2 linked regions of the Lepisosteus oculatus genome follow. The protein of the gene in region 2 interacts with the protein of the main gene of each other region in a pairwise test. Links are inferred from orthologs where the notes say so. Each region holds a gene or a part of one and is shown on either strand. Other genes may lie near its edges.

Evidence for each region.
Region 1: the proteins of egfra (region 2) and ptpra interact in binary tests that used the Homo sapiens proteins (3 or more experiments, as listed by UniProt). The link is inferred for Lepisosteus oculatus from reciprocal best matches to the Homo sapiens genes EGFR and PTPRA.

The regions. Positions count from the first base shown.
Region 1 is NC_090698.1:74,842,671-74,853,231, forward strand, and holds the start of ptpra (receptor-type tyrosine-protein phosphatase alpha), read right to left. Parts: upstream 3,998-10,561; 5' UTR 3,687-3,997; intron 1-3,686. Other genes in the region: dedicator of cytokinesis protein 2-like, read left to right, coding at 9,689-9,731. UniProt on the Homo sapiens protein: Tyrosine protein phosphatase which is involved in integrin-mediated focal adhesion formation.
Region 2 is NC_090701.1:19,950,231-19,960,681, reverse strand, and holds the start of egfra (epidermal growth factor receptor), read right to left. Parts: upstream 4,666-10,451; 5' UTR 4,308-4,665; coding exon 4,235-4,307; intron 1-4,234. UniProt on the Homo sapiens protein: Receptor tyrosine kinase binding ligands of the EGF family and activating several signaling cascades to convert extracellular cues into appropriate cellular responses.

The DNA of each region.
Region 1 (10,561 bases), on a different chromosome or scaffold from region 2:
CCAACATCTGAAAAGTACTTGGAGGAGAATTTTAAACTGAGAACTGGCAGTGCTTTACACAAAGGGTTGTGAGGGTCTGGAGCAAGCTGGGATAAACTACACTGGCTAGTTCAGCTATTTGGTCTCACCAGTCGTTCCTCCTTTGCTCCTGCTCAGTGTGCTGCAGTAGGTGTGACCTGGTGCTCAGTAACAGTGAACCAGGACCTGCAGAGAACAATAGCCAAAGGATTTCACACACAGGAGGGGACCCCCTGCAGGACTGGGGAGTCACTCTGAGCCTCACTGTGGGCACTGCCAGGAGGAGTGATACCCTCTCAGGAGGAGTGGGGTACCAGGAGGAGTGATACCCCACTGGGGCCCTGCCAGGAGGAGGCTGGGCAATGCTGTCTTTCTGACGAAACACAGAGATACAGATCTCTGCTCTGTGTCGGATGGAGTTTTGAAACTCTTCCTTTAACGAAGTCACTTTTGCAATACAAGCCACACAGGCAGGCAGGCTACACCACCTGCTCACCCATCTCACACAGTCAATAGTGACTTAAGTTAAAACTTAAAAACAGAACAGAGAACAGAGCCCCCCGCCCCCAGCGCCGCTCGAGAACAGAGCCCCCCACCCCCAGCGCCGCTCGAGAACAGAGCCCCCGCCCCCAGCGCCGCTCGAGAACAGAGCCCCCGCCCCCAGCGCCGCTCCAGAACAGAGCCCCCCGCCCCAGCGCCGCTCGAGAACAGAGCCCCCCTCCCCCAGCGCCGCTCGAGAACAGAGCCCCCCTCCCCCAGCGCCGCTCCAGAACAGAGCCCCCCGCCCCAGCGCCGCTCGAGAACAGAGCCCCCGCCCCCAGCGCCGCTCGAGAACAGAGCCCCCCTCCCCCAGCGCCGCTCGAGAACAGAGCCCCCCTCCCCCAGCGCCGCTCCAGAACAGAGCCCCCCTCCCCCAGCGCCGCTCCAGAACAGAGCCCCCCGCCCCAGCGCCGCTCGAGAACAGAGCCCCCCTCCCCCAGCGCCGCTCCAGAACAGAGCCCCCCGCCCCAGCGCCGCTCGAGAACAGAGCCCCCGCCCCCAGCGCCGCTCGAGAACAGAGCCCCCCTCCCCCAGCGCCGCTCGAGAACAGAGCCCCCCTCCCCCAGCGCCGCTCGAGAACAGAGCCCCCCTCCCCCAGCGCCGCTCCAGAACAGAGCCCCCCTCCCCCAGCGCCGCTCCAGAACAGAGCCCCCCGCCCCAGCGCCGCTCCAGAACAGAGCCCCCCGCCCCAGCGCCGCTCCAGAACAGAGCCCCTGCCCCAGCGCCGCTCGAGAACAGAGCCCCCCGCCCCCAGCGCCGCTCCAGAACAGAGCCCCCCGCCCCAGCGCCGCTCCAGAACAGAGCCCCCCGCCCCAACGCCGCTCGAGAACAGAGCCCCCCGCCCCAGCGCCGCTCGAGAACAGAGCCCCCTCCCCCCAGCGCCGCTCCAGAACAGATCCCCCTGAGTCCAGCGCCGTTCTAGTGCCACTCGAGAACAGGGTCCGGGTCCGAGAATGTCAGCTCTGGCTGCTTCCATACCACAGTCCACCAGTATTTTCCACACTCATCAGCACACGCTCATCTCAGTGCTGTGACTTCCTGCTGCACACAACAAAGCCCTTAATTACAGGTCTGATTACTAATTGCTGGTCTGGCACCAGTAGCAAGGTTTTGTCATAACACACCAGCACTCTTACAGACACAGACACACTGCTCAGCTGTCACAATCTTCAGGAGGTCTGCGCAGCTGGGCAGGTCTGCAGAACAGCCGCGCTCACGCCCTGCGCAGCTGGGCAGCTGTACACAGCCATTGCTAAATTAAAACCAGCATGTAAGGCCACTGAGAATAAGCATCAGCCTTCTGCATCAGGCCCTGCATGGAATCACAGATCAAATTACACTAGAGGCAGCAGTCTTGTGCACTTCTGTACTCAAAGAGTGGTGGGAGTCTGGAACAAGTTACCCAACCCTGCTGCTGGAGATGATTCTCTGACATCCTTCAAGAAATGGCTGGATGAGATCCTGCTGCACAGGCCAGATGGGCCGAATGGCTCGTTTCTCAGTGCTTTATAAATCCGAGAGCCGGTGGCAATCCTTCAACTCCTGTGGTCCTGAGAGCTGGCTCACAAACACACCTTGAAGTCAGTCAGTCTCTCTGGTGCGGCTGGACTGCACCCAGCCCCGCTCCTCAGGGGTGCAGGAGGGGAGACGCCTGGTCCTCCTCGGCTGGGCTCTGGTCAGAGCACACTTCTCCATGCACGCCACAGCCTGTGGCCTTGTTCCCAGTAGCGCCTTGAGCTTCTGCACAGCTCTTCGCTCTAAAGCCAGTCCCAGCACGGCCCAGGCAGAGCAGACGAGCTGACCGGACCAGATCCCAGCACCGCATGCAGAGGGGACGACCTGACCGGACCAGATCCCAGCACCGCGTGGAGAGGGGACGAGCTGACCGGACCAGATCCCAGCACTGCCCAGGCAGAGGGGACGAGCTGACTGGACCAGATCCCGGCACTGCCCAGGCAGAGGGGACAAGCTGTCCAGGTGGGATGGAGGCTGAGGAGCTGAACTCCTCAGATGCTGGGTGAAGGTCAACAAGGCTCCGACAGCTCAGGAGAGGGGCTTTGGAGCGCCAGGAGTCAGGCGGGATTCCCCGAGGCCTTTCCTGCACAGCAGCGCAGCTCTCCCACTCCCACTCACGCCTGTCGAGCAAGGGATACTGGACAGAACCAGAGGGGCCCAGGAGAGCGAAGGGCGGCGCTGAGGGGTTGCTTGCCGATGAGCCCCTGCGCTGCTCTGTCCGTCCTGGTTCACTGTGTCCTCAGGCACTGGGACAGACCCCCAGAGACGGCGCACGGGGCCACCTCACAGCAGCTGGATCGCCGCACTGGCCAGCAGGGGTCTGCTGCCCAAGACCCCCTCCACTCCAGGTGACAGCCCACGCCCCCGTCACTACTGAGGCGCAAGAGCAATCCTGACAGGACAGAGGGCTAAACAGACTGCTCTCGCAAGCGGTGCGCGCAGCCTGGCGGCCCGGCCCGGCCGGGAGACAGCGGCCGCATGCCTCTGCCCCCGCCAGCCGTGTTGTGTCAACACCGCCATCGCTACACGCGCGACGCGACATCGAGATCGGGTTACGGGCGACAATATTCATCTGCTGCGAGCTCTGCGGCGGCATCAGGGTCCGACTCTGCCTGCCCGGGCACCACAGGGGAGTGAGAGGGGGGCGGGGGCGAGAACTGTCCGGGAGAAGAGAGCTGAACCCCTTCCTTCCCCCCGACCCCACAGCTCGCGACCCTCCCCACGCACGCTTCCATCTTTCTCCTCGCGACGCTCCCCACGCACGCATCCATCCCTCTGCTCGCAAATCGACTCCCCCTCCTCCTCCCCGGCGATAACAAAGCGCCGCTGTGCTCACCGCAGGTCTCCAGCGCCGGTCTGGTTACAGTGTGTCCGCGCTGCGGAGCCCAGCTCCGGCCCTCCCTCCCTCTCTCTCAGCCTCCCTCCCTGCCTCCCAGCTAATACCGGGAATGTGATTCTCCAGACAACAGAATTGGGTGCGTTCCCTGCGCGCAAGGACCGGAGTTACATAAACCCGCTCTCGTCCTGCGCGTCAGCGAGTCCCCGGAGAGAAGCCAAACCACAGAGCAGGATCATATTGGGGTTTGTTTTTTAAAAAGAAACACCCAACTTACCGCTCTCGCCCCAGAAATTCAGGCTGGCTTCCCTGCTCTTCCCCCGGATCGCTCCTCTCTCCCCAGCCCCTCTCTCCACACCCCAGCGCGACTGGGGTCGGGGATCACGCCGTACACCACGGGGGCGAGCTGGGGGGCTCTTAACGGTGCCTCAACCCCGGGAGTCCAGTCTCCGGCCGCCGCGGGCTTCTGTCCTGTTCTGCGTGTGATTGTAATTCCTGCTTGCTGTATCCGGGAAAGCCAGTCGCAGCTCCTACTCCGCCATGTTGCGTCCCTGTGTCGGGAATGGGGGCCAGTGGATCCCCGGCCCCTCCTCCGCCGAGCCGCTGCGGAACACCGGCGCCCCCTGCTGGGAAATATGAGCAATGAGCCGCTGAGCGACGACAAAAAAAAGTACATGGAGTTCCCTCCGTTCCAACGCACGTTTCATACAGGAGGGGCTGCGCTTCAGAGGGTGAGACACACGGTGGCCATTCTGCACCTGCAGCCCAACCTGGGAGACACACAGGGATCATTCTGCACAAGCAGCCCCACCTGGGAGACACACAGCGGCCATTCTGCACCAGCAGCCCCACCTGGGAGACACACAGGGATCATTCTGCACCAGCAGCCCCACCTGGGAGACACACAGCGGCCATTCTGCACCAGCAGCCCCACCTGGGAGACACACAGGGATCATTCTGCACCAGCAGCCCCACCTGGGAGACACACGGGGATCATTCTGCACCAGCAGCCCCACCTGGGAGACACACAGGGATCATTCTGCACCAGCAGCCCCACCTGAGAGACACACAGGGATCATTCTGCACCAGCAGCCCCACCTGGGAGACACACAGGGATCATTCTGCACCAGCAGCCCCACCTGAGAGACACACAGGGATCATTCTGCACCAGCAGCCCCACCTGGGAGACACACAGGGATCATTCTGCACCAGCAGCCCCACTGCACACAGCTTCAGGGAATTAGGGAGAAACTGCTGCAGCAGGTGAATTAAGAGAAACTGCAGAGAGTCAAGTCTATGCAATAGCCAACATGCAGTCACATACAGTTGGTGTACACATAGTGGGTGAACTGAAAATAGTCCCCAGACAGTCTTCGTTATCTCATTTTCTCAGTTCAGAAAGTCCACAATTATGCCCTGCAGTGTCTGGACTGGTTCTGCCTGCTGGCAGGTGATGAGGGCCAGGTGTGTTTCACTCAAAGGAGAGCTGGTCTGCGTGACGTCAAGTGCTGAGCACAGCGGGGCTGAGTCCCGGCAGGGCCCATCTCTGGGCAGTGAGCCCCTCGTCTGCAGCAGGACCTCCAGCTTGGCCTCAGGGGAGAAGACCAGCGACCTGTGTGCTGGGCAGGGTGGGAGCTGATTGGACTGTGTCAGCGTGGCTCAGACTGCAGGGACTGTTCAGCGCAGTTTGCTTTCCTCTGGTGGTAGACTGGAGACATTGCAGGCAGACTACCAGGAGAAAACACACAGATGACCAGCCCTATAATCCATAGGTATGGTACAGAGGTGACTTGCTCTAAATGCATGCTAATTACATCCCAAGTTTTTGTTCGGTCATTAAAAAGCACCTTTCACTCCACTCACGCGTGAGGCAGAGAGAGAGCCACCTGTTAATTGAAAAAGCTGCAGAACGAGGCCCAGCTGGCCTGTGTGAGTAAACAGCAGTCTGAGGGAGTGAGATTCCACTCAGGGAAGGGTGCTGTCAGGGTAGTGCAAATTCAGACCAATGAATTATAGCATTGCCAGAAATAATTAACACATTCAGGAACATTTACAACAAAAATATTACTGGATGTTTACAGATATCAAATAAAACATATTGAGCAATATTGAGAGACAGGTTTACTGTTCCTCAGGCTGGGACAGGAGATCACATACTGGGCTGCCAGATCAACTGAGTTCCCTCCTCCCTCTCCCAGTAGGATTGGGACCCGTTGTGACTCTGGCAGGTGTGGGAACTCTGGGATTAGATTTCTGAATTTCAGGAAGAATGTTTCTCTAATCCCAGAGTATCTGTCACAGTGCAGTAGGAAGTGCACCTGTCTCTACAGTGGGAGCACAGCCTGTCCTCTCTGGACAGCCAGGTCTGCCTGTGTCGCCCAGTTTCTATGGCCAGGCTGTGGTCACTGAGCCTGTACTTCATTAGGGTCTGTTTCTTTTTGCTGTTATTTAGCTTGGTCAAACATTCTGCTGGCGTTTGTTGTCTGTTTACAGTCCTGTAGCATTCCAGTCTGTGTTGTGTGTGTTAAGGTAGTGTTGTTTGGTTTGTGCTGTGTTTTGGCTGATTTTTATTAATGTTGTTTCTGTTGCACTGTCAGAAGGTTAGTAAGTGTCAGTGAGCTTCAGGACCAGCTGGCTGAGGGGATCTTAACTGGGCTAAGCAGGGCCTGTGGTGGTAGGAGCTCAGGTCACTACTTTTTAGGTGAAACCAATATTTTATTGTTTTTATGTCAATTCATTAACAATGGCCATTGTCCTAAATTGGTCCTGCATGCATCATTAGGTGGTTTCTCTGTTTTTACAGAGCTCTGTGTGCGGGGCTTTTATATGGTGTTGGTCCCATTTAGTGCAATCCTAGTCCTGTGAGGAGACCCCACACTTCACTCTCTCTGACAATACACTCCTTCTTCATTAGTCACCTGGCACTTCAGAGTTCAACCCAGTTATCTGTCACCTCCAGTTCTCAGTCTTCACCAGCTTTCACTCCACACTGAAACTTCCAGGTGAATCCTGATTCTTTATTCTTTAGTTATCTGGGTCACGTTTGTCTCCAGTGGGGATTCAGTCCTTGAATCCAGACACTACAAGATTGAAGAGTTCGAACGTTATATTCAGTGCTAAACAAGTTGGCTTCCCAGTTGTAGCATTCTAGTTGGAGTAGAAGATGTTTTCGACTGAGTGGGATTGTTTTACTCCATCTCTGTTCTGCAAAGGATGAACCTCGGCTCTAAATTCTTCAATATGATCCGTTTGCCACGATACACCAATGTCCAGTTGCAGCAGTCAGACCGATTCAGGTGTGTCACCTTGTCAGGAGCACCTGGACAGGTTGGTCCCTTGTCTCCTCTGCTTCTGGCCCTGGCGGCTGAGCCCCTAGCAAGCGCGATCAGGTCTCACTGCACCATTCATGGCCTTGGAGCCGGTGGATCCCCACGTGTGATCTCACAATATGCGGATGCCGCAATGATATACTTTATTAATTTCAGCTCCTCCTTGCCAGTTCTGTCCATTTCTTGGGAGCAATATGGATTGGCCTCACGCCAGTCCTCCCTTCGTCTGGATCCCAGAGAATATTCTGGAGTTACTAAGCAAGCCGACAACGGCCTGGTATTTCTCTCCAGATGACATCCCACGCTGGAAAAGCTGAAGCTGTGACTGCAGACAGCGAAGTGGAAATATCTGCCTGTATCACTGCTTGGCCGGGCAAACTGTGCCAGGTTGTATGTACTGTACTGTACTGCCAAACGTTTTATACCTTTTCACACTCCCAATATCACACCAAACAGATTTTTTTAACAACAGACTCAGCAGGCTAGTATCCAGATGTAAATGGAATGGAGAAACATTTAGGATTAAGGTGCCCCATTTATCCCGCTGTCTAATCTGCTGGAGAAGTAGGCCAAGCCTTTCATTGAACACCTGCAGGCTGTGGTTGTTGACAGGAAAAAGTCACTTCAGTGCACCCAAACTAAATCTATTTTACCCCCCTCTCTTCTGCCTGCATTGAAGGGAGGAATAAAGCAACTGTACTATAATATTGCTGTTCAGACAACCGACAGCCTGTGTGAAGAGAGTGTACGTCTGTCTTCTGGGAACGTTTAAAATGACTTTAATACGACTCCCAACCAATACTTCTTGAAGTCTTTAGGTGCGTAGTGAGGAGACGTGGAGTGATATTAGTGTTGTCAGGAGCTAGGTGAAGATTCCGATCAAACAGCAACAAAGTTAAATCTTAATCACTTAAATCACTTGGTGTTTTGGGTGTCAGTCCGACCTGAGTCTGTTCAGACATTGATGATCTACTGAGATCCTGAGCCACCGCACCGGCCCCCTTTCAGCTTCCAAGCCATGTTTGCTCTCCTGTGTTTCTTCACCGTTTGTTCTGTGTCATTCTCAAGTATAATGTTCTCATCATGCAGACACCTGCGTCAGCTCTGCAACCCAGGGCTCCTGGCTGCACCCCCTCCTGAGCCCTGCTGGGTGAAACTTCCACCCGAGAGCAGACCCTTCACACGGGCCTCCAGGAAGTCCAGATACATCCCCCACCTTCTACTGACTTTCACACTCACACTCATGCTTGTCTGCAATCAAGCCGGATCCATCATTCAGGATCCCAGCCATCCCGGCCACAGACTGTTCTCCCCCTGGGCTCTGGCGAGCGGTACCACACTGTTAAAGCACGGCCCACCAGACTCAACAACAGCTTCTGTCCCACCACTGTGCGCATCCTCACCAGCTAACTGCAGGGCCTCAGACTCAATACACAGATGCACTCCACAGTTTTTGCATGCTCTACTATGTTTATTTTTGTCTCACTACTACATATTCATTGTTCCTGCTGTCTACATTGTGTGGTGTTGTCTGTTGTACTGTTTATGTCCCGAAAGATCAGCGTGATGAAGAACTCCAATGCACGTGTACAATTGGCAGTAAATTCTTCTGCTCTACTCAGTGAAATGCAGATATTTCTCTCTGCTGTACGAGTCCCTCTCTCTCTTCTCACTCCCCCTTGACCCTGGAAGTGCAGCTTGTAAGCTCTGTTGCAATGACCTTTTGACACCAGAAGGTGGCGCTGGACACCAGCGCTTTGACGGTAGAGGTACAGAAGGAACGGGCGGACTGGCAGGACGCTGTTACCTTCCCTTCTCCAGAGGTCTCTCCAGCTCAGGGGCAGCAGCCCCGGGGCAGTGGGCTGTAAACACAGAGCAGAAGGTATGTGTACAGGTGTGCCCTCAGGACCTGGGGGAGTTGAGCAGAGTTTGCAGTTCCTGTTGTCATGGCATCGCTGAGGGCCTCCCTGACTCAGCGTAATCGAGTGAGGATCCCCTGGGCGTGGATCACCCGCTAGTCACAGGAGTGATCGGAGCAAAGTACTGTAGTAAAGCACTTCCCTGCTGCTCTGAGCGCCTCGGTCCCAGTGTGTCAGGTGTCTGTCTGCATCCCCCTCTGCTGACGGTGTGTCCCTGCTTGCCCCCTGCCCCCTACCTGCCCCCCACCTACCCCCTGCGCATCCCCTTCCTGCCCCCTGCCACCTACCTGCCCCAGCCCCCTGCTCATCCCCTTCCTGCCCCCTACCTGCCCCCTACCTGCCCTCTGTCTGCTCCCTGCCTGCCCCCTGCCCCTTACCTACCCACTGCCCCCTGCCTGCTCCCTGCCCGCCCCCTACTCGCCCCCTGCCCGCCCCCCGAGGGAGAGGAGGGGGCTGGACTCTCTGCAGCATTACCAGACGCGGTGTGTACTGCCGATCTCTGCAGCCTCTCTCTCTCAGCGCGTCTGTGTGTCAGTGGTTTTCAGGAACCAAGCCCAGGTCACACACGCCACACATACTGGTTTCCTCATTAGCACGAGGCGAACACAGGCAGCTTGACAGCGACAGAGCCACCGGAGAGACAGCCTGGAGCTCAGGAGTGCTGGGGAGTGAGACAGCACTGGAGTTCAGGGGTGCAGGAGTGACCGAGAGAGTGAGACAGCACTGGAGCTCAGGAGTGCAGGAGTGGAGAGAGTGAGACAGCACTGGAGTTCAGGAGTGCAGGAGTGGAGAGAGTGAGACAGCACTGGAACTCAGGAGTGCTGGGGAGTGACAGCGAGAGAGTGAGACAGAACTGGAGCTCAGGAGGGCAGGAGTGGAGAAAGTGAGACAGCACTGGAGCTCAGGAGTGCTGGGGAGTGAAGGCAAGAGAGTGAGACAGCACTGGAGCTCAGGAGTGCTGGGGAGTGACAGTGAGAGGGTGAGACAGCACTGGAGGTCAGGAGTGCTAGGCAGTAACAGCAGCAGCAGAGATGGCTCCCTGGACCCTCACTACCAAGGAGAAATATGGAGTGGGTAAGTGGCCAGCTTCCCTGCAACTCGCCCTCCTCTCTCTCTTTCACTTCACTGCAGCTGAAAGGTGTTGTGTTACAGGAACAGATACAATTGATTTTTAAAGAAGTAAAACTGATGGATAAGTCACATGTTGCGAAGCTTTCTGAACTGACTGTTAGAGTTATAGCTTCTCCCCCTGTCCACAGGGCTGGCGGGGCTGCAGGGCAGTTATACAGTAGATTCTCCCCCTGTCCACAGGGCTGGGGGGGCTGCAGGGCAGTTATACAGTAGATTCTCCCCCTGTCCACAGGGCTGGGGGGGCTGCAAGGCAGTTATACAGTAGATTCTCCCCCTGTGCACAGGGCTGGCGGGGCTGCAGGGCAGTTATACAGTAGATTCTCCCCCTGTCCACAGGTCTGGCGGGGCTGCAGGGGCACCTGGGCTGAGTGGCCCTTCTCTGCCCCAGCGAGCAGCTGCTGCTCCAGCCTGAGCCACACAGCCCTGCTCCAATCCCTGTCAGAAAGCTACTGAGTGCGGCAGGCAGGAGTGCACAGACGCTCCTGGACAGGAGCTCTCTGGGGTGCAGTGAGACTGACAGTAACCCAGCAGCACTCAGCTGGGTCAGGGCAGAGGGGTCTGGACAGGTGGACTGGAGGCAAGGTTTCAAGCTGGCAAAATGTCCAAAGACCCTGCTTGCTCTGCCATATCAAGAGATTTCCTCTGTGGTTTAGGGGTGTTTCTGCAGATCTCTAGGTGTTAGGCTTCTGAGGGTCTCTTTCTCACAGCTCTCTAGCTGGCTGTGTGGGAGGAGAGTGGGGGTGTGTGTTCAGTCCAGTGTCTCTAGCTGGCTG
Region 2 (10,451 bases):
CAGAATAATTACCAGAATCCTTCACCTAAAACTAAATTAAAATTACTTCAAGAAGATCTGATTGATGAGTACTGAAAACTACAAATTCATGAGTACAGCACCACTGAATTAATAACTTGAAATTGGCTGATGCACAATAATTGTGATTGATGCCTGTAAAGTCTCTGATGACATAAAATCACAATCCGAAAACTGTAACTTTAAATACAAAAGCAAAAACAAATTCCTGTAATGAGGTGTGATAGGCCAGTAACTAGACAAAACAGAACACATTACAACACATTGTTACTGTAGGTAATTTGATAATCATTGATTAGGCAACAAAATAGTAAAGAATGTCTTGGTAAAATAATGTTTTTTACTACATTTTTTTTCTGAATTACTTGCAAACATCTATCATCTAACATCTAGTAAATGTCTTTTACATGTTCAGAAAGTTGTTTATTCTACACTTCTAAATATTACATACTATAGCTTTATATCTAATGCAGTCTGTCTTAAATAGTGCTGAGGACATGTTTCAAGGCTCCAATCAATTTATTCTATTTACCGCAAGACACAAAGAATGGACCGAGTTAATTCAGAAAAAAAAGCTTAATATTTCTAATAGCAATAAGAAACTATGTTACATTGTTTTGACCTTTTACATTTTTTGTTTACTGACAATACCAACTTAACTGTCTCTTAAACCCATCTTACAACAGGAAAAAGTTACACTACAAACTATAATATATAGTATAATATTTGCTTATGAAACACTAAACTTGCACAGGTAACCTGTGCTTCATGTAGAGAGGCATTTGGGCAGCATGTTAATTTCACAATCATAGAGTTTACCAGGAATAAACAGACAAGCTTGTGAAAATGAAACTGATTACACATTGGGATGATAAAACTTTGATGACAAATGTCAACTTAAAGGAAACATTATCATTCAATTTGATAGTAACGGCTGCCTGTTCATGTTGGCAACAGACTTGACTTTTCATTGTTTGAGCCGACACATTCAAATACCTTAAATATGCCATATCATCTCTCTAACAATAATATAAAAGTCAATTTTATTTAATAAAATAAAACAATTTCTGTAGACATAGAATGCCTTAAACTTTCTTCTGACTCCTCCTTGATAACATACTATATGCACACCTCTGTTAATTGAAAAGAAATCATATTTTATCTTTTTTGGCAGCTTTACTGTAGCTTCATAAAACACATAACAAAAAACTTAATTAAACCAAAGCACAAAAGGGTGCAAATCTGTGATGATCACAAAAGAGAAAAAGGTGTCGAACATTAGAGAGATTTTTGTGTGGATACTTAATTTAAATCTTCGTTTGTCAATCTTTTAGAAGTGGTACCTAACACAAGCAACATCCTATTTCATCAACCTACTGAAGCCACAGAGGCTCAAGGCAGCAAACAGATGCTGGAAAAGACCCTGTGTTCTTCATGTGTTCACCATGTGTTCGTCATGGGCAGGGATTCCAGTCACCAAAAAGTCACATACAAAGACTGTCAGACATCGATCTACTGAAGCCAAAGCTACCTAGAATTTCAGACTGTCCCCCACCATGAGCTTTGACCCTGCAGAGAAACAAGGGGCTTTCTTGACTGGAATGGTCTTACTCGATCTGCCATCCATCTGCCCAAACTGGCAACACAGAGCGCACTGAGACAACCCGAAACACAGACATCTCCCAACTGTTCACCAGAGAGAATTGGCCCGTGTACTCAGTAACAAACCCAAAAATCACTCTCTGCCTAGAATTTAATTTTAGAGAAAACAACACGCATTGTCATTGTTTTAACAGGTTACTTGCATGCTGTGAAATACATCTTCAGAGTCTGAAAAGACAAATGGGAGTACAGCACATGAAGGAAAATACTGTACAAAGGTTTAGAAAAGTTACCTAAAACAAAAAAACACAGTTTCTCTAGAAATTAGCTGTTTTGCTAGCCACTTGTGGAATTTATAGCAAGTAGAATCAAACTGAAGGAATGGTAGAGTTTTTTGATCATGTAAAAAGGACATCAGGTTTTAAACTTCCTCCTAATCTCATGTATAAAAAGGCACAATTTGTACTGTGTTTATATTATATAAATAACTTTCTTCATGTTTACATCACTTCAGGTCACCTCAAAAAAGAGGCACATTACCTCACCGTTCAGTTGTTATCAGAAAAGCTTTTATTCTCATAATGGAAACTCAGAGACTACCCTAGACTAGAAAAACAGGCTGCAAGGCAGGACACAATGCCAGTCCATTGAGACATTAGTTAACCGAGTCGGCTTGCATTTGAAAGGAGGAAGATGGAACACCTAGAAAAGCCACACAAAAACACAGGGCAAGCATGCAAACTCCACACAGAAGGCACCACACTCCAGACACTGAACCTACAACCCAGGACCTGCGAGGCAGCAGTGCTAACCATAACCTTATCAACTTGTCATTCAACTAAAGCATTATTCCACTGGGATTCAGGAAGGAAAACTTTGACTCCTATCTCTTCTCTATCTCAAATGACATAACACTTAAGACTCTGATAACCCTGTTTTTGAAATAGTGTTTATACAATAAAATCAAATAGACCTTGAAAGAAAGCGGTTTTAACATTATTAATACTATATTTTGCATAATATGATGCGCATTTTAAGTAAATGTTTAGTAAACTTCTGTGCTATTTCTCTTCTCTGAAAAAAAAATCCTTAAAGTACATGTTTTATCTATTTTGCACGTCGCAGGCACAAGGTTTGCGCAGTTAAGTGCTCTAGTTCATCAACAAGACTTCGAAAGAGGAATCCTGCGGGGCTGATGTCTCCACTTGGTTTTAACTAATCCTACCGATCCGAGAAACCAATATTGCCTTTAAATTTAAGAAATTCTACCACTAAAACAAATTTCCTGCATTATTTACTTTTCCTGTATATTGACTATAGAGAACTCTCAGAATTTCAAGCGGGGTTTTTTTTTTTCGGATCAGCAGACAGATGTGCCATTGACTTTATACTGGCACAGTAGCGTTTGACCTACTACTCCCCTTACTGTGGATTCTGCCAGCCTCTAACAATGAAGATCTTGTTACACTCAAAGAGTTGATGGACAATACGAAAATGATACCAATTTAAAGTTTTCAAACACAGATAAAACGTATAATTGGCATTGCATTTGCTTTTGGTGTGCTTTATCTTTTCTGAGAATTACTGTACTTTCGATTTCAGGACGAGATGACTGGGCACTCGGAACACTTCAACCTGCTGGTTTATTCGGTGGTTTGTAGTAGTCGTCGTGCCACCTATTTTATTGCGAGATATTTGTTCACGAATGATCTGGATATGTTTTGTATGACATCGTAAACAGAATGACTTTGTCTTACCCATTTTATTAAAAATGTGATTTTGAAATTGGACATGAAGGAATCTTTGTTTTATACATTGTACACTGGCACTGATGCTTGTTTGACTACTGTATATACCTGTGCGACGTCTTCTTGTAAAATACAGTAGATGATTAACTTCATTTCATATAGTTCGCTATTATTTAAGTCCGCAAATACTGAAATACTTAACGTTTCCCTTCACTTTTGCAGCATAATACTCCACAATAGCGCTTCTCCATTCCTCGATTACTAAATGACTTACAACGCAATACATTTCTCTAAAACACCATAACGTATCCATCCAGATACCACGAAATAACATTTGCCTGATCATTAAGGAACGCATTTATTCATTTAAAATAAGAATCACTCCGTAAAAAAAGTTAACATATCAGTTTTCCCTGTTGTGATTATCAGTTGCCTTGCACTTTGCGGGCATCCCATTCTTGTAGGTCTTTTGAAACTATAATAATAATAATAATAATAATAATAATAATAATAATAATAATAATAATAATAATAATAATATGTACCTCTTTATTTCCTAAGGCTTTGCACTGATGTTAATTCGATACTCATACGACAAACGCAGAACAAATTCTAGTGTAAGGTAAGAAGTAATCTGCTGTACTCCTCATTCCTGCAACAAGGAAGCACTGTACCGGTACTACAGTTTCCCACGCTGCCTCTGTATCTTGAACAAACTACAGATATACAAACGCGAACAAAGCAATACGAGATTGTTTCAAAGCTTAGTGTATTAAAACTTTACTCCCGGGTCATTAAATTACTATTAACAAACAGTTGCATGTCTTCAGGAAAGGTCTTGTACAAGTTATCTTTCTTTCACTTACCTCTCTTGTCCTGTATACTGCAACAGCCAAGAGTGAGCAAGGAAGACAGGACGATCGCAATTTCGAATTGCATTGCTGCGAGTTTTCTTGAGCTCTTCGTTTCTTCTCTTCTCCTTCAAATATGTTCTTTTTTATTCCATACTGGTACTGACAAATTTTGTGTGGTGAATAAAGCCTCTACTTTCTCCCTCTCTAGCTGTCAAAGGGAAATAGTAGGAAATTTTGGGAAGGCGTCAGCGGCGTTACTTTTCTTTCCTTAGCACAGAAACTTTGACAGCTCCTCCTTCGTTCTCCTGAATTACTTGTGGCGAGAATTGAGCCGAATAAAGTCTCTCAGCCAGCGGAGGTTCTGACGTCACCACTGGGAGGGGGATTATTGCGCTGCAGATAAATGCATTAACAGGTAAAGTAAATCCTGCCGACTGACATGATTCACAACTTCTGCTCATGTGCAGTTGTGCCAGGTATGTTCTGTGCGATGTTGAAATTCACTGCTTTCCGGTATTTCGTAATTCTCCAGCATGTACTAAGCAAGCGCTATCAGTTTCGAACTCGCGAAATTTATTATTGATCTTCAGGAATACTGTAAAACGTTATGCCGTTTGTTCACAAACATCACTTTTGTAACGGAAATGACCACTTTAGTGTGGTTTTACTTATCCGCATGTTGTGTTATTATTATTGTTATTGTTGGTGGTGAAAGTGTTGCTTCCAAATCCTTAAACAAACAATAAAACAATGGCTTCGACAAAGTCTGTGTAGAGAGGATATTACTCAAATCAACCTAGAGAGAGAGAGGTAAATTAAATAGACACCCACTGTGATTTAAACAGGCAGTTCAAGCCACATCATAATCACATAAGTGCCTGCTGTAGCAGGTTAAATGTTTAAGCCTGCAGCCATTTCACAGACAGGAAACTGATGAAAACCAGTAGATTTTTCCCCCCCAAGTTTGAACAGTAACATTTTCAACAAGCAGGAACATAACACGAGTAATGCCGTTTTCAACGATACTTTAGGATCCACTGGAATAAGGTGTAAGAAGCTGTCTGCTCTCAAATGAGTGACAAGTGTTTATGTGTTCATCCTCTGCTGTACTGTATGCTCTCCTAGTCAACAGAACAGACATTTCAAGTTATAAAATGTGGAAAGGAAAGCAAGCCTGACATTGTAGTCCAAATGTAGCAGAACGTGTGCAGGCACCCAGAGAAGACCATCTGATGTTATCTCCACAGCCTGGGTACAACAGCCGAGCAACCAGACAAAGACAGCTTCTCATTCCATGCAGTGTCATTCGTCAACTACTGTGGAAAGTGGAGGTCCTACCACACCCTCCTGTCTTCTGGAGGACTCGCATTTCTACCCCAACCCCCACTGCATTGCCCTGCCCACACACACAATCCAGGTCTTTATAGCTGTCACATAGTAGTCACACACAGGTGTGCTCATCCCAGCACAGGAGGTTTACCTGGAACTTCTGCAAGCCACCACTGAATATAGTTTCTTTACGGTATACAGTAACTTGCAGCTGGGACAAGAGATAAGAGACTAGCATACTATAGCTGGGGAAATGCAAATGAACTTCTGCATTTTTGCAGCTCTGCCATGGCATGTTCAATTACTGTACATGAACCAAGTGGGGGAACATACAGTATAGGCAATATTGGACTGATCTCTGCTGAAGCATCCCAACTTATTTAAGGCCAAGAATACAGTAGGCTGAGGTTCTGCAGACCAGAATTACCAATCCCTTTCATGACCAAATGCACACAGCAAAATACAGAACCACAAAGCATTAAAAGTATATACTGTATAGTATATATGAGAGTTCTGTATTGTGCTACACTTTCAAATATTGTTTTTAGGTTGAATCTTGATAACTCAGAAAAATGTGGTCTTGTTTGAAGTCAAGTGTGCACAACCGAATTTGAGTTCTCATTAATCTAACATGGGAAAGGTGTCAATGTTTATGCAGAATAAATAACTAGACATGGAGATTTCACTACAAAAGGTTTAATAGGTGTTATGTTTGTTACAGATTACAGCCAGGGGCACAATTGAGCATAACACATTTTTAACAAAGTATTTCTAACAGTATTTTCTACAAAACTACAGTACAACTTGGTTAGACAGAATACAGTATCAATTTAAAAATGAGGTCTCTGTGAAAGTTTTCCTTTCCTGATGCCTTTGTACCAATATGAGAAGCTAATTTCACTGCAATTGCATGCAGTTGAATCAAAATAATACTGTTTACTGCTGCCAATGAAAGAACCAGCACCATGATAATATCAATGAATTGTGAGGGCTGTTTCCTTAGGAAGCAGACAAAATTACACAAAGTAATTATTTAGAATGTATCTTCAAGAATCACTCTATTCTGATGTACTACAGTACAACATCTAATATAAGCAGTCACAGGACATTTGGTTTGGGATTTTTTTTCCTCTGGTCATTCATTCATGAAGAAATGATGTACATTATGGCATAGTTTAGGTTGTCTGCCTTACAAAAACAGAAAGAAGTCCCTTTCATTGAGCACACAGAAACATTCTAATTTTGCCATACAGTAGTACTGTAATTTGCCATAATGAAAACAAGATCCAAATGCTAACTCTGATCCTTTACATTTGCACATTTAAATTGTTCATTTAAATGTCATTTAATGACATCATCATTTAATGATGCAGTGCAGACACTTTTAACTTGCAGTATGATCCCCTTCCCCACTAAGAAGAGAACTACAAAAGGCATATTTTAATCATCCACAAAAGGAATTGTTACAATTGAAAGTAATCTACAGACGAATGAAAGAACAAGGTACAGCATGCACTGCAAAATCTGACGTCAACTACAGAGCTTTGCGTCTTTTGGAATGTTTGTATGCATATCAATGTAAATCATAGGATAGGTTAACACAGCACAAGTTGGCTTCAAGTGTGTACAGTGAACTGGGGAGGGTTATCTTGAACACACAACTGCTTTTTCAGCCCCTTAGATTTACATCTACTGTAACTTTAGTTTGCACTAGAAGGTGGAGCTGCATGTCCTTAATACAACTGATAAATATGTCCCTGAAATTAAATTGTATATAAAATTTCTGAAACAAAACACCTTTGCAGTCATTTGCAAAGGAATTTAGGCTTTTGATTTCATTTATAAGAAACTAAACAATAATGATACTAAAGCAATGATACCGTATGCACTGACTTTAGCGAAGAGAAACAAACTTGAATGAAAAAACGAGCAAATAATCATTGTTAGCAGCACATGCAAATGGCAAGGGCACCATGCTAATTAAGTAGTTATTGTTAATCCAGAGTGAAGTAAAACAATTTTATTCTTGGAATAGAATGAGACAGTCTTATTAAATTAGCTATAAAACATACATTCACAGCTAAATTGAAACTAGCAAACAATGTTTTATTATTATTATGTCAACAAAACATAGGTAGAAAATTATAATTTATATATATAAATTATAGTTTAATAAAACTTTTAACATTTAAAAAGTTTATCTTATACTGTATACTGATATACGTAATTGTATTTGACTGCTATACACTATGTACTGCAAGTATGAACTTTTCAAATCTTAAAAAAACTAAATAAGCTAAAATGTAACACTTGTAATCAATTATTAACCTTTAGGAGAGGAGCAACTTCTTTTTTATGGGTATATTTGCATACTGTATATTTATAACAATCTTCTTGATTAGTCTTCAATTTGATTTTCTTTTCACATATGGATTACTTGAGAACTGATCAAGTACTTCTTATGGTACCGCTGTATCACCTGCAAGTACACAGCCAACACCACACTCATTCAAGGCCCCTCAGGACAGTTCCGGATCACCCAGACAGCATCTTGTACCTCCAGCAACCTTATTTACTGTATCTCTTGCAGTAAATGCCCAGCCATCTACATTGGAGAAACAGGAAGGAGACTCGGAGACCGCTTCAGAGAACACATAAGGGCTGTGAAGATTAAAGATCTCTCCAAGCCCATTGTTTCTCATTTCACCTCTGACGGCCACGACCACTCTAATCTCTCCGTCTGTGTTCTCAAAGACGGTTTTCCAAACTCATACATCAGAAAGACCACCGAAACTAAAATTATTCTGCAGCTAGGATCACACATTCTCCCTTCCCTTAACGACAGACTACTGTTCTTTTAAATTTTCTCCATTCATTGGAAGTTTCATTTCACACCTCTCTGCACCCATTCTGACTTCACACCTCTTGATTGGCCTCTCTTTCTGTCCCCTGCTCCCGCCTCTCACTCCTCCTCCCTCCCAACCTTTCTTCTCCCGCTACTTTACCTTTGCCTACTGCCCTGTCTCTCTCACACCTGAAGAAGGCTCCACGGCAGAAATGTTGTGTTCTCTTTCTTCTTTTTTTCAGCATGGAATAAACCTATAACTAAGTACTTCTTATGTTTTGTTTTGCCACATTTTAAGAGCATAATTTAGTATAATTACAACTTTTAATGTTAAGTGACATTTTTAAACAACATAACAGTATTGTTCCCTTCACACACAAATACACCTTTATTTTCCCTAATTTTCAATATACTGTATCAAAAATGTCAAACTGTCTTTCATTATAAATGCATATATCACATAGAAAGGACCTCTTCAATACTAAAACAAAATTTTAACATCCATTGAACTATAAAGTACACAATACAATTCAGTTAAATTGTAATATTCACACAAGCCAGAGATATTTATTTCACTGGTGTAACTGAAATACTTTTGTACCATTTAAAAATATGTACAGTATTGTCTTTTTATCAGAAATCTTTGGACCTGGGCATTCAATCACCAGTTTGTATTTGAATTAATTTTTCAATATAAGCATGAAGTCTGTACTTATGGATAAGTAGCTTTTCCATTAATCTTTTTAAATTTCGTATTTAAATAATGACCACACAGCTACTATTAAAGCAGGAAGTATAGTTCACCTCTGGAATTACAGTAGCTATGCATACATACCACTTAAATGAACGGATTCTTAATTGTGTGACAAAAGTAATTAATTTTTAAATTAATAAAATAAATCATTCTGAAATGAATAATAAAAGATAAAATAAAGAAATGATAACCATAAAACCCCTATATTGGTGAGTCAATTCAATAACTTCAATCACAACATTGGATAACAGCTACATCCAGAGAGAAATAATTAGGAAGCCACAATCTCCCAGCTGCCCTGTCTATTTTAGTACTTTATCTACTTTGAGAACAAATTATGTTATGGCTGATATACAACCATAGAAGAAAATATATAAGTTTATATGAGCCTAATACTGAATATTTTATTGAAGTGTAATGTAAACACTTTGCCTGTTAAAACAGTTCACTATTATGTCAGGTAATGGCACGTTATTGATGTAATCATGAAACAGGTCTCTACTTGGTTGGTAACACACTATACAGCTTCAAAACAAACATGTCACCATGGAATTCACTCCATTAGCAGATACATTTTATTGGAAAGTTACCATGGAAGCAAATGCTTTGCCACTTTCTTATTTAAAAGTGTGTTCTTTTTTTAAAATCTTTATTTTAGTTTGAAATTAGGATATATTTCTATCAATACTGTATGTAACTGAATTAATTTATTTAAAGCAGTCATAAATGATCATGCTTAGACTGAGCAATGTTATTTTTTAAATGAAAAATTACAGTTAATTCCTTATATGGGTTCAATATTTTTCAAATAGGCATAGATAATTATTTCTTATTAAGTCCTTCAATATATCCTATCCTTCAATATATGTCACTCCTATGCAAGGATATATAGTACAATGTGCAAACTTTAAATCACATGTGAATATGCTACAATTTTGTAGTACTCAAGCCCAACCTCATTGAACTCATTCTGGAAGGAGCTCAAGAGGGACCAGATTCAAGTTCAAGACTCCTGGGTAACTTTCTTACCTGAGAGTCATGTTATACACAGATTAAAACGTGATGTCTCTGATTCCAAACAGGAATCTACAAGGTCCTTGAGAGAATGGCCAAAAATACTGTTAAGATAAGGTTTGAAATGTGAACCTGAGGATGTAAATGAAAGTGGAAGTGTGTGTACAGGTGGAATAAGACCAGGAAGCACCTCTTAAGGCAAAGTTTGCTGGGTATCTAGAACTGGTTTTCCCATCAGGGTATTCAAGATCATTCTTTGAGATCTTTCAAGAAATGCCCTGCTGATC